Linked DNA regions of Arabidopsis thaliana. The protein of the gene in region 1 interacts with the protein of each later gene in a pairwise test. Each region holds a gene or a part of one and is shown in the gene's direction. Other genes may lie near its edges.

Region 1 (8,153 bases):
TAGTGATAACAGTTTTGTTTTTCAGTGTTAAAACATAACAGATTTTCTCATATCAATGTTATGGCCGATTTATTTATGACTAGAATAAACTTTTTAGTAATAATAGACTTTTTGTTAGCAGATTTGTTTTTAAAATTTCGAATTTTTTTGTTACATGAGATTTATTAACTAGCCCTCAAGTAAAAATTTTCCGGTTTGATTGTAGGTTAAATCCGGTTTGATTCAATTTTTTTTTTTTTTGAAAAAGAAATTTTCATAACGTCACGACAGACTTTTATTAATGTCGGCAGATTTTTACATAATATTGTCATATTTGAATTTTAATGAATTTTATTAGTCATAATAAATTCTCCAAGGGTTTTCATAACCGTTTTTTTTCTTCTTCTATTCCTACCATCAAATCAATTATTTGTGAATTGATACATGTCAAAATATTATTGGTAAGCTAAAACAAGTCAATTTATAATATGCAATATCAAAATTAAATTGTTTTTTTTTAGTATTTTTAAAATCAAAAACGAAATATGTGAAGAAGATTCTTCTTTATCTAAATTTTGTTCAAAATTATTATTTAAAAAAAAGTTTGTTCTCACGGATTTTCGTTTTTGTTTTAATTATGTAATATAGGTTTTGGTTTTCTTTTTTATCCACGATTTCCTTTTTGATTTTATAATTCTGTTGAAAAATAATTTGGTTTTGCTGATTTGTCAAAATTTTATTGGTGGAGTGACTTGTGCTTTAAAATATAAAAGATTTGTTTTATTTTTTATTTTTTGTTTTAATTTGATTACAATTAATCATTAAGGTTATTTCGTCTTTTTACCAAAGATATGGCTTACTACAGTTTTTGAAACCAAACGTGTGTCATTTAAGTTATTTATGTTAAGAGTTGAGTCAATCTAAGCAAATCTTACTAAAAAAATTTATTGCCATAAATACAAAATAAAAATCTGGGAACAACAATGAATATGAGAAATTTGTTCATCGGTAAAACCTATGTAACTGCAGCGCGTACATTAGAAATCATGGATCTCAAGAACATATCATAGAACCTACGTATAAATTACAATAAGCGTCGATCTCAATAACATTTCATAGAACCATAAGTTTACTTTATTAATTTATATTGTACGGATAATTCGAAATTACTTTTCATAAGAGTAAAGGCATTCCAAAACCTGAAAAAAAAAAACAGTTTTTAGGTCCTTTAAAAGAATTTATAAGTAAGAATTTATAAGTATATCTTATTGTAAAGCACGCGAATATCTTTCTCTTGGAGTTTAATTCGACATACATTACTTAAAAAGTATATACACTATATACATATTCATGTACGTGTGGTGTGTGAGGGAAAGAAAGATAATTAATATATATGTTGGGATACGAGATCAAGTACGAGAAAAGATTAAGGTGTTGATTAGTTGCTTCTAATTGTCATCTTCATGACTAGACCATACTTTGGTATACACAACTGGTTACTTTTAGTTTGAGATGCGGCGGTACGAAAAAAATTAAACAAATTAATGTGTGTTTCAAAATATTAATTATAGAATTCAACACTGTTTTCTTAGTTGATCTCTCTAATGCTACAAAATATTCTGAAGATTATAATATAAGGTGCTACTAAATTATCCATGGTATGATTCGTATATCCAACATTTTTTCTGTATTATTTAGAATTTTTAACAATTAATACTTTCTCCCTAAACAAAGTTTATAAAAATTTCACTCAAGTTTCACTATTGAACGAATTGGTAAACAAAAATAAATGTTTTGGCTATTTAAAAAAAAAAATTGGTGCGGTAAAGAATGGTAAAATTGTAGCGAGGTGATAATAGAAAGTTGTTAAGAAACATCTCAAATTACAGCATCTTGGCCGATAATAAAACTAATATACTATGTTTGATCATCATATGATTTATTTTTCGTTCTAGCCTGCTTCTTTGATTCGTAGCCAAACAAGCTGGAGCACTCCCAAAGTCCCGAGTCTTAACGTTTTATGGCCCATTAACGATCTAAAGCCCAACATAAAGAACCTATTTCTATCCTTTGAGAAGTTTTCTCTGTCCGACGATTCATAGCCAATTAACGCTAAGATTACTATTTGATTTAATCTAAAATATCTTTAGCGAAAAGAAAGTTATTTACCAAAATCTAAAAATTTATATGTAATTATCGAAATCTTTTTAAAAAATTTGATATGTAATTATCGAAATCTTCTTATAAGAACAATATACCAACTCTTTTCTTTAATAACCCTAACAAAAAAAAGATACATAAATCTGGTGCATATACACATCTCTCTATCCGTCTCTCTCTGGGTTTCAATGGATTATGAAAACGGAGAAATAATAGCTCCTAAATCCACCACTTTATGGGATAGACTTACACCACGACAAAAAAAGTATGTGTTCACGTGTGTCTTGGTTTTTTTGATCGCTATCGCAACCGCTGCAATTATCGTTTATGCCTACTCTGAATCAGCACAAGAACGACGTGAAAAACGGCGTAAAGAACAACGTATAGAAAACTATGCACCGGATATTATAATACCATCTATGGATTTCACAGTCCTTAATTTAACCGAGACTAGTCTTAGTGTTAAATGGGATTTAGTGATCAGGCTTCCTTCAGATCTTCCTGGTTACTATATGTGTCTCAAAGGAGATTTGCAGACTTTCATACTTTACAAAGGTGTTACCATTGCTAATTCATCCTTAGACAGGTTACACTTTTTAAAAATTTCAATACTCTTTTTTTTTTTTTTTCTTTAACTAATTTCGTTTGTTCATATATTTTTGTTTGAACTTTTTTGTGTTATGCTCTATCAGTTACAATCTGATACCAAATTGGCCTCAGCTGCTTAATACCTCATCGGTAATTGCTTCTGAGGGAGATATGGACAGTGTTGTTGTGAAAGACATTATGGACGATATAAAGGAAAGAAGAGACATGCGGTTCGGATCGAGGTTGCTTCTTCCGGATTGTAGATCTGGGAGGAAGATGAACTATACGTGTGATGAAACTGCGGTTCGGTTTGAGCCTGGCTCTCAAAGGAAGGCAACTGCGTTTGAAAACGCCGCTCCTATATGCCACTATATTCACACTTAAGTAAAATTTTCATCAATAATGATTTTTATGTTTTAGTTTGCATATGTTGGATCTTCTTCTTTTGCCTTTTGATATCGTAGGAAAGAACTTAAACAACACAATGCGCTTTTGTTTTTTTTTCCTTTGGCTTCAATGGAATATACTTTGTTCTAATGTATTATTATTTTCGTTAATAATTATACTCTCATAGTAAGATACTATTTTTTAAAAAGATTCTATTTAAACATATGGTACTACATCAATATCATAAGTTAATCATTACATCAACTTAAAAAATTTATTTAGTTAGTCTGTTTAACGTACCGAACCGATAATTAAATTTCGAAATCAAATCTACCGATTGGTTTGTATCTAATAACCAAACTAGAACCGATTTGCACAAACTTCGGTTTGGACTTATCAATTTTGTTTTTAATCTGAAGGCCTACTTTTTTCTTTCTATAAATATTGGATAAGACTCATAAAAGTAGTATTTGGTATATTAAGAAAAAGAGTAAAAAATCCATATAAAGGAGAGAAAATCGAATCGTTATGTTAACAAAAAGATTATGTTTAACGTACGTGATATTAAGTATCTTTATATGACTCATGTAGTTATTTATAAACCTAAAACCTTACGACTTTCTTTGTGTCAATTGTCAAGTCTTTTGTATCTTCCTGTAAGCCTGTTACGTGTGAGGTAACGTGTCCATCAATACTTGTGTCCTAGCGAACTTTGATCGATCCTCTTCACTTTGATCCTATCTTGTTTCTATACTGAAATTCTTAGATCAAAATATAGTGTGACATAATCTGAGGAGTAAGTTAGATTCAAATCTTCTGGTCGATAGCTGTAAATTCCCTTGCAATGTTTTCTATGACTCTAATTGCTAGATCTGCGCTGGTTGTATGAATTTTTGGGATAATTTCGATTATTTTTCTTTGAACTTATATATCTTGAATTCGTTTATTGAGATTTAAGACTTGTATTGATTTTCAAAGTTGTTTATATTGGGAGTCGAACATTAATCTATTTTCTCTTCCTCTGGATAATGAAGCACTTGCCAGTTGTCAGTTTCAAAACCATGGTTGCAAATAAGAAGCTAACTACAACCGATGCACTTGATTTCCTCCATCTTGTAAAAACTAAATATCAAGATAATCGTGAAATATATGATAGTTTTCTTACGATCATGAAGGATTTCAGAGGTCAGAGGTATTTTTTTTCTTCTTCTTCCCTCATAATAGTTTCAGCTCTTAGTTATATAAAGTTTTGGTAAACTGTTTTTTTTTTTTTTTACTAATTGTAGAGCTAAAACATGTGACGTCATATCAAAAGTGAAAGAACTCTTCAAAGGGCAACCAGAGCTTCTCTTAGGTTTCAACACATTCTTGCCAACGGGGTTTGAAATAACACTCAGTGATGACGAACTTACGTCAAATTCGAAGTTTGCTCACTTTGACGAAGCATATGAATTTGTCAACAAGGTCAAGGTAGTTGGGCAAAATCATACTAGTAATTAGAGTTTGATTATGATTATTTTGATCCAAAAGATCTAAAATCTAAATAAAAAACAGGTTTAGTCATTTAAATTTAGAGAGATGAATAAACTTGTTTAGATTTTAGTGTTAAAATTTAGGATATCAGATTTATCGTTTTAATTAAGGGTTAGTTTCGGTGTAAATATTTCGGTTTATATCATTTGTATTCTCTATTGCTGTTTATTTTGCAGCCCTACTAGAAATTATATTACTCTTTTCTGTACAATTTTTTTTTTTACTTTTCTCTTAAATATCATTTTTTCTGTAGACAAGATTTCAGAACAATGATGTATTCAACTCATTTTTAGAGGTTTTGAAAACGCATAAAAAGGAAAACAAGAGCGTTGCTGAGCTCTACCAGGAGGTGTATATATATATATGTTTCACTACCTTTTCTTTTTCCATCTTTCTTGTATTGGATTTAATGTAATGTATTATTTTGTAGGTGGCTATCCTTTTTCAAGGCCATCGAGACTTGCTTGAGGAATTTCATCTCTTTCTTCCACATTATGGATGAAGAATGATGAATTATGTATACAATGAAGCCATGCAAGTTGTGGTTCAAAGCCACTTTATCTGCTTCCATTTGACTCAATGGGGATTATCATTAGTTTGTTGCTGAACTGGTAAAACTAGTACTCAATTTTTCAAGTTGTTTTATACTATTTAAACTGAATATTATGGATAATACACAAATTATTTATCAATTTACTTAAGACAATATAATTATGCTTAGTGAGAATGTACCAAACCTTTTTTTTTGGGTTAAAGGTTGCTGCACTAATTAAAAGAACAAACGGCGAATTACAAATTCTCAAATAAACGACAACAAACCCGACACGGTACAAGAAGATAATTTGAACCAAACCATACAAACAAAAGAATATTGCCTAGGTGTTGAGGTGGCTCAACTGTGGAAGCCAAAGCTCTATCAGATGCAATGCTAACAAGAGAGAAGTCGAATGCAGGGAAGAAGCTATCAGATTTTAAAATCCAAGCTGATGCGTTTACTCATTTCATCTTTAATTGTGAGTTATTAATTTTGAAAACCAGACTTTTTTTGTAGGATAAAGAACTTTTACAACTTTTTTTCTATAACCCTTTTAATATATGGTTTTTATTTTACTTTATTTGTCTAAATTTCTTTTCTAATACAGTTACAAACTTTTATATTTTTATCTTAAATATTTCAAAACTTTTAGATTTTATACATGGTGAAATCTGATGATTTAATTGATATTTGTTGCAATCACGAGAGTTAGCAAGTTTGAGATTATTGTTTTGAAATAAGATATGGAGGATAAATTTATTTTAAAAAAGAGAGAGAAAAATGAAAAAATAAGAAAATACTTAATTATTGTTTTGAAATACTTTAATTAATTAAAAACAACTATATCTTTAACTAAATTTTAATAACATATCATATAATTAAGTATAGGTTAAAGTTCATTTTCTTAAAAATTATCTTTCCTTAACAACTATATCTTTATTAAACTGTCTCATCTTCCTTTTGCACTCCAAAATAGTTTCCTCGTTTCTCTTCAATCAATCACTTAGAATGGCAGACGAAGAACTATCTATAGGAGTGCGGATCTTCGTTTCTTTTCTCATAGCCTTTGGTATTTGTGGTCTGGTTTTGTTGATGATAAAAGACAATTCTGGCAAAATCCCGGTGCCGAAAATAGAGTTAGCTTCAATGGATTTCACGGTGCAAAATATTACAATGACTCGTCTTAATGCAAAATGGGATTTGTCGATAAGGATCCCTGATGATCTTCCTGGTAAGTATATATGTCTTCAAGGAGACCTTGAAGCTTCCTTGCTTTACAAGAATGTCACTCTTGCTACCTCATCCCCACAAAAGTAATGAATCTATTTCCTACTATTTTTTAAACCCGTTTTAAATTCCTTAATTCGTTCGTATTTTCAAAACTAATTGAATCTTGTATATGATCAGATACTACAATCTCAAATACTTCAATCCTCAGCTTCTTAAGATTTCAGCTAATGTTTCCGAAGTAGATATTGGCGGTTTGATTGGAAAAAATATTATTAACGATGTCAAAGAGAGGAAAGAAGTACACTTCGGATCGCGATTTTCTCTCACGGATTGTAGAGAAAAAACGACAGGAGTTATGAGTTATGAGTGTGACGAAGCCACCTTGCGGTTCGAGCCAAGCTCTGAGATGAAGGCGACAATGTTTGGGGACCATCCAAACTGCATCAATGTTTGACCAAAGTCCATGTCATCACCATGCCAGTTCATTGTTATATTTTGGCGTCAATGTTAATTTGACTCGGAGAGTGGGGAAACATAAACGAGAGAAGTTGGGTCGTGTAGGTACATAATGGGCCGACAATAACAAACGCTAAAACTAAAATGTGTGAAAATGCCAATATTTGGGCCCAAAAGATAAGAAAACTGGAAAGGAAGTAAAAGTGTACGTAGGATTAATTAAAAAGATAGTGTAAAACAAAGGGGGCATTCGGAGAATTGAACTCCGGACCTCTCGCACCCTAAGCGAGAATCATACCACTAGACCAAATGCCCAATTTGATTGAAGCTTCACTTTGTTGTTAGATAACCATATTCTATGTCACCAAAAATTATCCACATCTACATAGTCATCTTAAGTTTACCTACCTATCAAAATTCAAAAGAGTATTAGCAAAGTCCGACTGACAAACTAAATTTGAACCGACACGAGAGAAATGATTTTTTCATTGGAATTATTTGATTCTTAGAAGTTGAAAACTTACTTTAAACTAGAAAAATTACAAATCACAAAACCACCTTAAAGAACCAAACGACTTAAATGATCCATAATCATATCTACGATCTACCAATATAGCCTATACATGAAATAAAACAGTTCAATAAATAAATAAAACAAAACTGGCAAAATGCTTTCTAGATCATAAAAAGCCTCGAATTTACTAATTGTAGCACATGACATTGATAGTTAAATTCTCCTAACATTCCTATTATACCCACACCATCACCCAAAAATAACAAAATCACCGAACTACACAAACCCGAATTGCAAGGTCCCAAAATAACCAAAATCCAATCCTCTAGCTCTGCTGCGCCCTAATCCCCCAATTAACCTCACCGGCTATAACCGGTTACTCTACCTATAAGCAACCTAGCAACGGCTGTCTCTAAGTTGTATTTCATATTTTTTTCAATTCTTTATTTTCCATCATCGATATATGTTTCTCTACCGTTTTTTATTTATTTATTATTCTTATTATTATTATTTTTATTTTTTTATATTAATCATTTGACTGTTGTTTCCTCTACCGTATTTACTACATTTTTAATATTAATAAACTTTTTTTTAATATGTTTCATAATAATAAATAATATATGGTGATGGAAAAGGTAAAAAATAACAGGGAAAACTTTTTTTTGGTAATTAAGTAAAAAATGGGCTTAATGAATAGTAAAATAGTTATTACACCAAATCATATAATATAAACAATAAATTAAATTACAATTAAGGCAGAAGTAAAAAAAA
Region 2 (7,577 bases), on another chromosome or scaffold:
AGTGTCTTCACCGTCCTCATTTACTTCATGTGACAATCACATGCCTCCCATCTCTCCCTTACCCACACATACAATAAAGATACTTTCAAATACATAATTTTAAATTAGTATTTGACAAATACACAAATATTCTACATAGGTACAATACATAATAACTAGTAAGAAAGACCGACATTTTTTTTTTTATGAATGAAAATTATTCAGCCAAAGACTACATTTACAAATTACAATTACATGCAACTTTTTGCCAAAGTTTAAAGAGAAGATCAAAGTAAAAACAGATTGAGGTTTAGTTGGTTCGAATGTGTTTTCGTTGATACTTACGTATTTCGGTATCAAGAACACGATTACTAAAACAAATTTTGAAAGCAATGTTAAATACTTTAGAAGGAGTTACGTTTTTGATTTATGAGTATTCTTTCATCTAATATTGCAAAACAAATTCGTTTAACGAAGTCATAGAAAAATTATTTAAAATTGATATACAATAATCTTTTATCTATTTAGGTAATATTCGGAAAATTTTAGATCGAAACTCATACATCTTTTTATCGGAATATCAACTTCGCAACCTTTAGAAAATCCTATGAAACACAAATCTTTAAAAAGTCATAGAAAGCTACCATTAGACCAAAACCACTTGGTTATAGGTTTCTACTTTCTACCACTAAGATATGTAACATTATTACTCTTTGATCATATTCACTAATCATTTCGATTGTCATAACATATATCACCAAAACTCATTTGCGTTTTTAAGTTTTTAATGGAACAGAGGCACACCAAACTCATTTGTGTTTCGAAGTTTTTGCTGTTCATGTTGGAGGTAGACTCAAAGTTCTTCAGGACTTAGCTCACTAGCTGACTCTGCATCCCCAAAAGGTCGCTGTATGGTTTCAGAATAGACGAGCCAGGTCCAACACCAAGCATTACGTTGGATGCCGGTTACGAGTCTCTTGAGCCTCCTCCCTATGGACAGAACCGCGTCCTTCATCTTTCTTTACAACAGCTCACATGGTGTCACTGAAAACTGGTTTTCTGCAGCTGCAGGAGAACCAAGTATTGATATGGAGACTATAAAAGCAGAGCCATAGTGTCTGATTAAACGAAGCAGAGCCATAGTATCTGATTAAACTACAAATCTGTATGATCCCTTGGTAGTTGAAATAGTAAAAGCGTGAAGGAAGTGATCAAAGACATTTATCAAAATGTGTTTGTAAGAATGGTTGAGAAAAGGAAATATATCTTTGAGAGCATGGTTTTCGGTGATGAGAACTATTGGAAATAGTAACACAATGCTTAAACACACAGACCATCAATATATAAATACCACCCTCTAGTTGGAGAGTGGTCAAACAGAAGCCAATCTAAACACGATGCTTGTGTAGTTAACATTACTACAGCTAAAGATAATGAGAAGCTTCCTTTAACCAGAGATAAGACAAAAATTGAAATTGCAACCAACTCAATGCAAAGCCATATCACTTCTTCTTTCGGCAAGAAGATTATCTTATACAGAACCAAGATTAATCGTCCTAGTAAAAAGCAAATCTTATGTCTCTGATAGGAATCTATCACATACTAGGTACAAAACCCATCGATAGAACTAAGAGACTAGTCTATTTGTAACCTATGAGTGACTATTTAACAGCCTCATGAGTCATGACCTCAGAAAGCTAAGGAGAAATTCTCAAACTATATTAGTCAAGTGCAAAAGAACCAACGGATGTTATAGAAATTCCAAGAAGGCTTGTTCGTTTACATCCTCATTGATCTACTTGAAAATTTTATTCTAAAAGGCAAGATTCATAGCTCTTATAGCTCACTCTTGACCTTAGCATCCCCATTTGGTAACACACTTTGCGTTTGAGCCAACCGTTTTGCTTCCTGAATTCAAATGAAAATAAATTTATCACCTTGACTAACTATTGTAGAAACTATCTCAGATGAGAAACAAAGGAACGTCAACAACTTACAGCAGCATAACTAGCACGTATGTCTCTATACCGATCGACTTCATCAGGAAAAGCCTGTTCAAGCTCCTCCAAGAGATGTTTTCTCAAACCCTGTACCAAACAATGTCGACTTTAAAATCATGAGTGGCCAAATTGAGAGAACCAGTAGAGCAAAAGGAGTCACCTTAAAAGCATCACTCTTTCCCTTTGTAACTTGATTTTTAGCAATGCAGTTCTTATTAAGAACATCTTTTGTAAACTCATCTGGGTTCTTCCCATCATCAATCAAGCTACAACAAACAAAGATATATAAACATAAGAGAGCAACAAAAATTCTCTAAAGAGTCTAAAAAGGGACTTGTTCTCACTTAAGAACCTCAATGGGGACTTGAATGTTGCATTTATCAGACAACTTAGCCATATTATCAAGCTCCATCACAAGAGAATTGCTGCAGATAGAGACAAAATTTCAATCACACAATACTCAAAACAATGGATCAATAGAGAAGAAGAAAAGTTACAGGCGTTGGAGGAGGTGAAGCTGAGAAGCAGGTGTGAAAGAAGAGACGGTGAGTTTTAATTGATGAAGGAGTTCTAAAATTTTCTGATTCGAGTTTATAATTTGGTTCAGCTTCTCATTTGAATCGTCGACGGTTGCAATTGCATTGATTTCGGTTTTTATCGAACCGTTGATTTCACCAATTCCGGCGATTGTGTTCTGTGTTTGATCCATCACCGAATAACTAGAAACGCGATTAAAACACACACAAATTAGGGTTTTGAATCACGGAAACATAGAGGTTGAGGGAAACAATTTATGTAGAGATCAATTCCAATTGACACAACTGGATGAAATTTCTGGGAACGATGAAACCCTAGGACCACCGACGAAGAAGAAGAAGAAGAAGAAGAAGTTCAGAGAGCGTACATGGATGGATTTGAGAAGAAGATCACAGGCGCAAAGTCAAAGTGGTCAAAAGAAAATTAACAATCGAGTTTTGAATTTGTTGTAGTCATTAATGGGCCTTTGGGCTTTTATATGGTTTTCAATGGAGTTAAGTCATGTCCATTTACGGTTACTTAAACTAATGGGTCTATTGTTTTGAACTTTTGATTTTAAAAGGTGGAGATGGTTCTGAATCTCTCTGGTTAAGTATCAATCCATGAGACCTTTTTTTTTTTTTTTTGAATGAATGTGTGAAATTATATTCAACTAAAACAACTGTTTTACAAATCAAATTCAACTAAAACAACTGACAAATTAAATCTCTCTGGTTAAGTGGTACATTTTTAATGTCTCTAGTCTCTACACATAAACGATTAACATGAGAGTTCACCAAATCTTTTCCAATTGGGTTTGTTCACTTGGTTTCGTTGGTTTTAATCTTCACAAATAAAAAAATGGTTTTAAGTAAATAGAAAGAAAAAAGAAAAGAAAAAAAGAGTAATCGAAGGAGCTGTAATCTTCACAAAGAGCACTTGATTATAACATTGAATCTTTTGCAAAAAAGATAAAAATCTTTTCAAGAAACTGATCCATCCAAAATACTATCTTGTCTTCACTCTTCAAAATTCCTGTCATTACTCTCTCGAACCCTTTCTCTTTTCGAATCTCCACTTTTTTTTCTATCTTCTGCTTCTTCTTCTTCTCTCTTCAATGATTCCACTCTCACAAAATCTCCATGACTACAAAACGCATAGACAGAGATCTCCCATCTTCCGACGATCCTTCCTCCGCTAAACGCCGTATCGAATTCCCCGAAGAAACACTCGAAAACGACGGTGCTGCCGCAATCAAACTCCTTAGCTTACTCCTCCAATGCGCCGAATACGTAGCTACTGATCATCTCCGTGAAGCTTCAACACTTTTATCCGAAATCTCCGAGATATGTTCTCCGTTCGGTTCCTCGCCGGAGCGAGTCGTCGCTTACTTCGCTCAAGCGCTACAAACGCGCGTGATCAGCTCTTACCTCTCCGGCGCGTGTTCTCCCCTCTCCGAGAAACCACTCACTGTTGTTCAGTCTCAGAAAATCTTCTCCGCCTTGCAGACTTATAACTCCGTTAGTCCTCTGATCAAATTCTCACATTTCACGGCGAATCAAGCCATTTTTCAGGCGCTTGACGGAGAAGATTCCGTTCATATCATCGATCTCGATGTTATGCAAGGTCTTCAATGGCCGGCTCTATTTCACATCCTCGCTTCACGTCCTCGAAAACTCCGATCAATTCGAATCACCGGATTTGGTTCCTCCTCCGATCTACTCGCTTCAACTGGCCGGAGACTCGCCGATTTCGCATCATCGTTAAACCTCCCTTTCGAATTTCATCCAATTGAAGGCATAATCGGAAACCTAATCGATCCGAGCCAACTCGCAACGAGACAAGGAGAAGCTGTGGTGGTTCATTGGATGCAGCACCGGTTATATGATGTTACAGGGAACAATCTCGAGACGTTGGAGATTCTACGGAGGCTGAAACCGAATCTGATCACGGTGGTGGAGCAAGAATTGAGCTACGACGATGGAGGAAGCTTTTTAGGAAGATTCGTGGAGGCTTTGCATTATTATAGCGCGTTGTTTGACGCGCTAGGAGATGGATTGGGTGAAGAGAGTGGTGAGAGATTCACGGTGGAGCAGATTGTTTTGGGGACGGAGATAAGAAACATTGTGGCGCACGGAGGAGGAAGAAGGAAGAGAATGAAGTGGAAAGAAGAACTGAGCCGGGTCGGGTTTAGACCTGTTTCGCTTCGGGGTAACCCGGCGACACAAGCGGGTTTATTGTTGGGTATGTTACCGTGGAATGGATATACTTTGGTTGAAGAGAATGGAACCCTCCGTCTTGGCTGGAAGGATCTCTCGCTTTTGACTGCCTCTGCCTGGAAATCTCAGCCGTTCGATTGATTTTATTTTTATTTTATAATGCAAACTGCAAAGTGATCATTAAGATTTTTTGTTTTGAAAATATTTCCAAACAAATTACGATAATTACGATAAAAAAAAGTCTTCATTGACGCAAAAAGTTGTTGATATTGAGAATGAGAAGGTTGTTGATACTAAAAATGAGAAGGTTCATGTTAGATAACTATATGCATAAGAGAGGTTCTTGTTAGATAACTATATGCATAAGAGAGGTTCATGTTAAATAACTCAATAAGCATAAGAGGTTATGACTATACACATATCTGTTAATAAAGTCAGCTACAACAAATAGAAGGTCTAATATCATAGACGATACCACCATGAAAAATCATCATTTCTCATAGTATTCATGAAAAACATCAAGTGGAATTTTTATGAGACCATCAACTTCTTACATTTAGTGAAACTGGTTTTTAATTTGTTCCTTCAATTCTTAAATCAAATCTAGAATTCATACAACTTGAGATTCTTAGAAAATTCAGGATACTTGTCTCTTTTTTCTTCTTTTTTTGTACAATTTTAAAAGAAAGATGTAGTGCAAAAGCCAAAAATCGAAAACAAAAACCAAAAACTAACAAAATAAAAATAAAATGACAACCATTCTTTTTTTTGGGGGGGGGGGGGGAGGAGGGGAGGGGGGGAAAGAAGAAAGAATGACCCAACTGTATGAAGGCCCATTAAAAAAGTGGGCCCAATTTCTATAAACGACCTTCGACTTTTTCAATAATCAATTTTCATCCAATTCAACTCAGGAAATTGCTATGATTTTACTCTGAGAATCAGAAGAAGAAATCTCGGTGAGCAAAATCCCTAGTTTTGGGATGATGTTTCCACGACTACGATTGACGAAGGTCTTCTTCTCCCCGATCATCGCCGGGAAATGGATCGTCTTTGCCGACGGTAGCAGCGGCGGCGGCGTTGGTAGAAATGGCTACTACGGTGGATTGTGGTCGTCGGCCGTTATTCCTTCCAATGTTGGTTTAGCTGTCGCTGTCACCGTCATGGCCGTGGCCGTCGCTTTCACCGTCTACTCTCGTAGGTATACACACAAAAACGATCTGATTTATGTTCTAATCGATTTCTTCAAAGCAAAGAAGCAATGCTTGTTCACTACTTAGTTAAGTAGTTATTTGGTATCCATAGATTTGATTGGTTCTTGCTTCTTTGTTACCTCACCAATTCGAGGCTGGATCGTCATGCCTTTAGGTTCGAAGAATTCTCTGTTAGTTAGGTTATTGTGATTGAGTTCTTGGTCCAATGTTAGCTGCTAACTCGTACTTCCACTACCTCTTCTTGTCATGGAACTTGTAAGACTCTCAGGCTGAACATAGTCCTGGCCATATTCTGTATTCATAGACTCTGATGCGTATAATGATTTTGAGGCTCGAAGCACTAAGGCTTTTTATAGTATAATGAGGGAAAATGTAACCAATGTTTAATGTTTACTTTTAGGTTGTTTGCTGGGTTGTCTCTTTTTGTATGACATGCTCTCTTGGTTAGTATTGAACAAACAAAGTGATTCTAGAAGGGTCCTTAGGTGGAAGTCTGAAACTTCATGAACTTTGTATAAACTCCTAAAGGAACTCTCGATAATCAACTCCCCAAGCTTTGTATTTGTGTTTCTTCTTTTGCAATTTTGTCAGATACATAAGCTTTTTGTTGCTAAATCTCTTATCATCGAATTCAGAAATCTGTTTTTGTTGTTATAACTCTTTCTACAACCCAAGCAATGAAGCTATTTTGTTTAAGTTCTGCATCATAAATATGCATACCATGAAGAGTTGGATCGAATAATTGCAGCCTGATATGATCTTTTGTCTTCTGGTCCTTATTCTAATTCTTGGCATCTCTTGGACTGTTTCTGTATGTAGTGATGAAGTGGTTAAGAGTCTTAGGTCTTCTGATGTGTGATAGAACTCCATTGATACTTTCAATTATTTTTAACATATATGAATATAGGACATAACATGTACCATTTAGCCTGTCTTATTTGTTCAAAGAAAGCTTTTTATCACTACATTTGGTTTGGTTTTATGTAATTTTTTTTCTTTCTAAACTTACTGGACGAAGTTGCTCATTTTCTGCTCATCTACTTCTTCAGAGGAAGCATTGGATCACCGTGGTCACTAAGGAGAAGAAAGCGAGTTCTTCAACCTAAACAATGGAATGCTTTTTTCACAGAGGAAGGGCGACTCAGTGATGGAGGTGTCAAATTTCTGAAGAAAGTTCGTAGTGGGGTATGTTGCTAAATAAGAAAAAAATCTGCTGTAATCTGCAGTTGATAACCTTTTGACACTTTGATATACTAATTTTTATTTTTGTTTCAGGGTGTACATCCAAGCATCAGACCAGAAGTTTGGCCGTTCCTTCTTGGAGTGTAAGAATCAGCATCTTGTCACTTTTCCTTGTTTTTTGTATACTTTTATGAGTTTTATCTTTTTCGGCTACCATTGGGGGTTTTCTGTTCGGCCTTATGTTCATACTCATGCATGGTCTATTGATATTAGCTTTTTCTTTGGGGATATTGATGTTATGTAGGTTTAAGGTTGAATAAACAGTGCATCAGTAAAGCATTCATTAACTAGGAGATCAGAGAGTTGCCTTAATGTTTTTCTATCAAGAGATTTATAAGATTAGTCCTAGTTTCGCCATACCAAACTCCACCAGCCGTCGCCCTACATTCCATTAACTTGATAATGAAACC

Evidence for each region.
Region 2: the proteins of AT1G70030 (region 1) and AT5G41920 interact in a two-hybrid assay, tested with the Arabidopsis thaliana proteins (2 studies listed by BioGRID).

What each region holds. Positions count from the first base shown.
Region 1 is NC_003070.9:26,375,043-26,383,195, forward strand, and holds AT1G70030 (Paired amphipathic helix (PAH2) superfamily protein), read left to right. Parts: upstream 1-3,598; 5' UTR 3,599-3,790; intron 3,791-3,813; exon of another isoform or gene 3,814-4,142; coding exon of another isoform or gene 4,143-4,175; coding exon 4,176-4,306; intron 4,307-4,400; coding exon 4,401-4,584; coding exon of another isoform or gene 4,585-4,614; exon of another isoform or gene 4,615-4,622; intron 4,623-4,900; coding exon 4,901-4,996; intron 4,997-5,077; coding exon 5,078-5,149; 3' UTR 5,150-5,337; downstream 5,338-8,153. Other genes in the region: AT1G70020 (transmembrane protein, putative (DUF1163)), read left to right, coding at 2,328-2,725, 2,832-3,111; AT1G70040 (transmembrane protein, putative (DUF1163)), read left to right, coding at 6,191-6,495, 6,590-6,866.
Region 2 is NC_003076.8:16,776,345-16,783,921, forward strand, and holds AT5G41920 (GRAS family transcription factor), read left to right. Parts: upstream 1-3,298; 5' UTR 3,299-3,637; coding exon 3,638-4,855; 3' UTR 4,856-5,080; downstream 5,081-7,577. Other genes in the region: AT5G41908 (uncharacterized protein), read left to right, coding at 939-1,094; MED10A (Mediator complex, subunit Med10), read right to left, coding at 1,816-1,887, 1,977-2,066, 2,140-2,245, 2,324-2,404, 2,477-2,688; AT5G41940 (Ypt/Rab-GAP domain of gyp1p superfamily protein), read left to right, coding at 5,695-5,912, 6,975-7,110, 7,201-7,250. UniProt on the Arabidopsis thaliana protein: Probable transcription factor involved in plant development.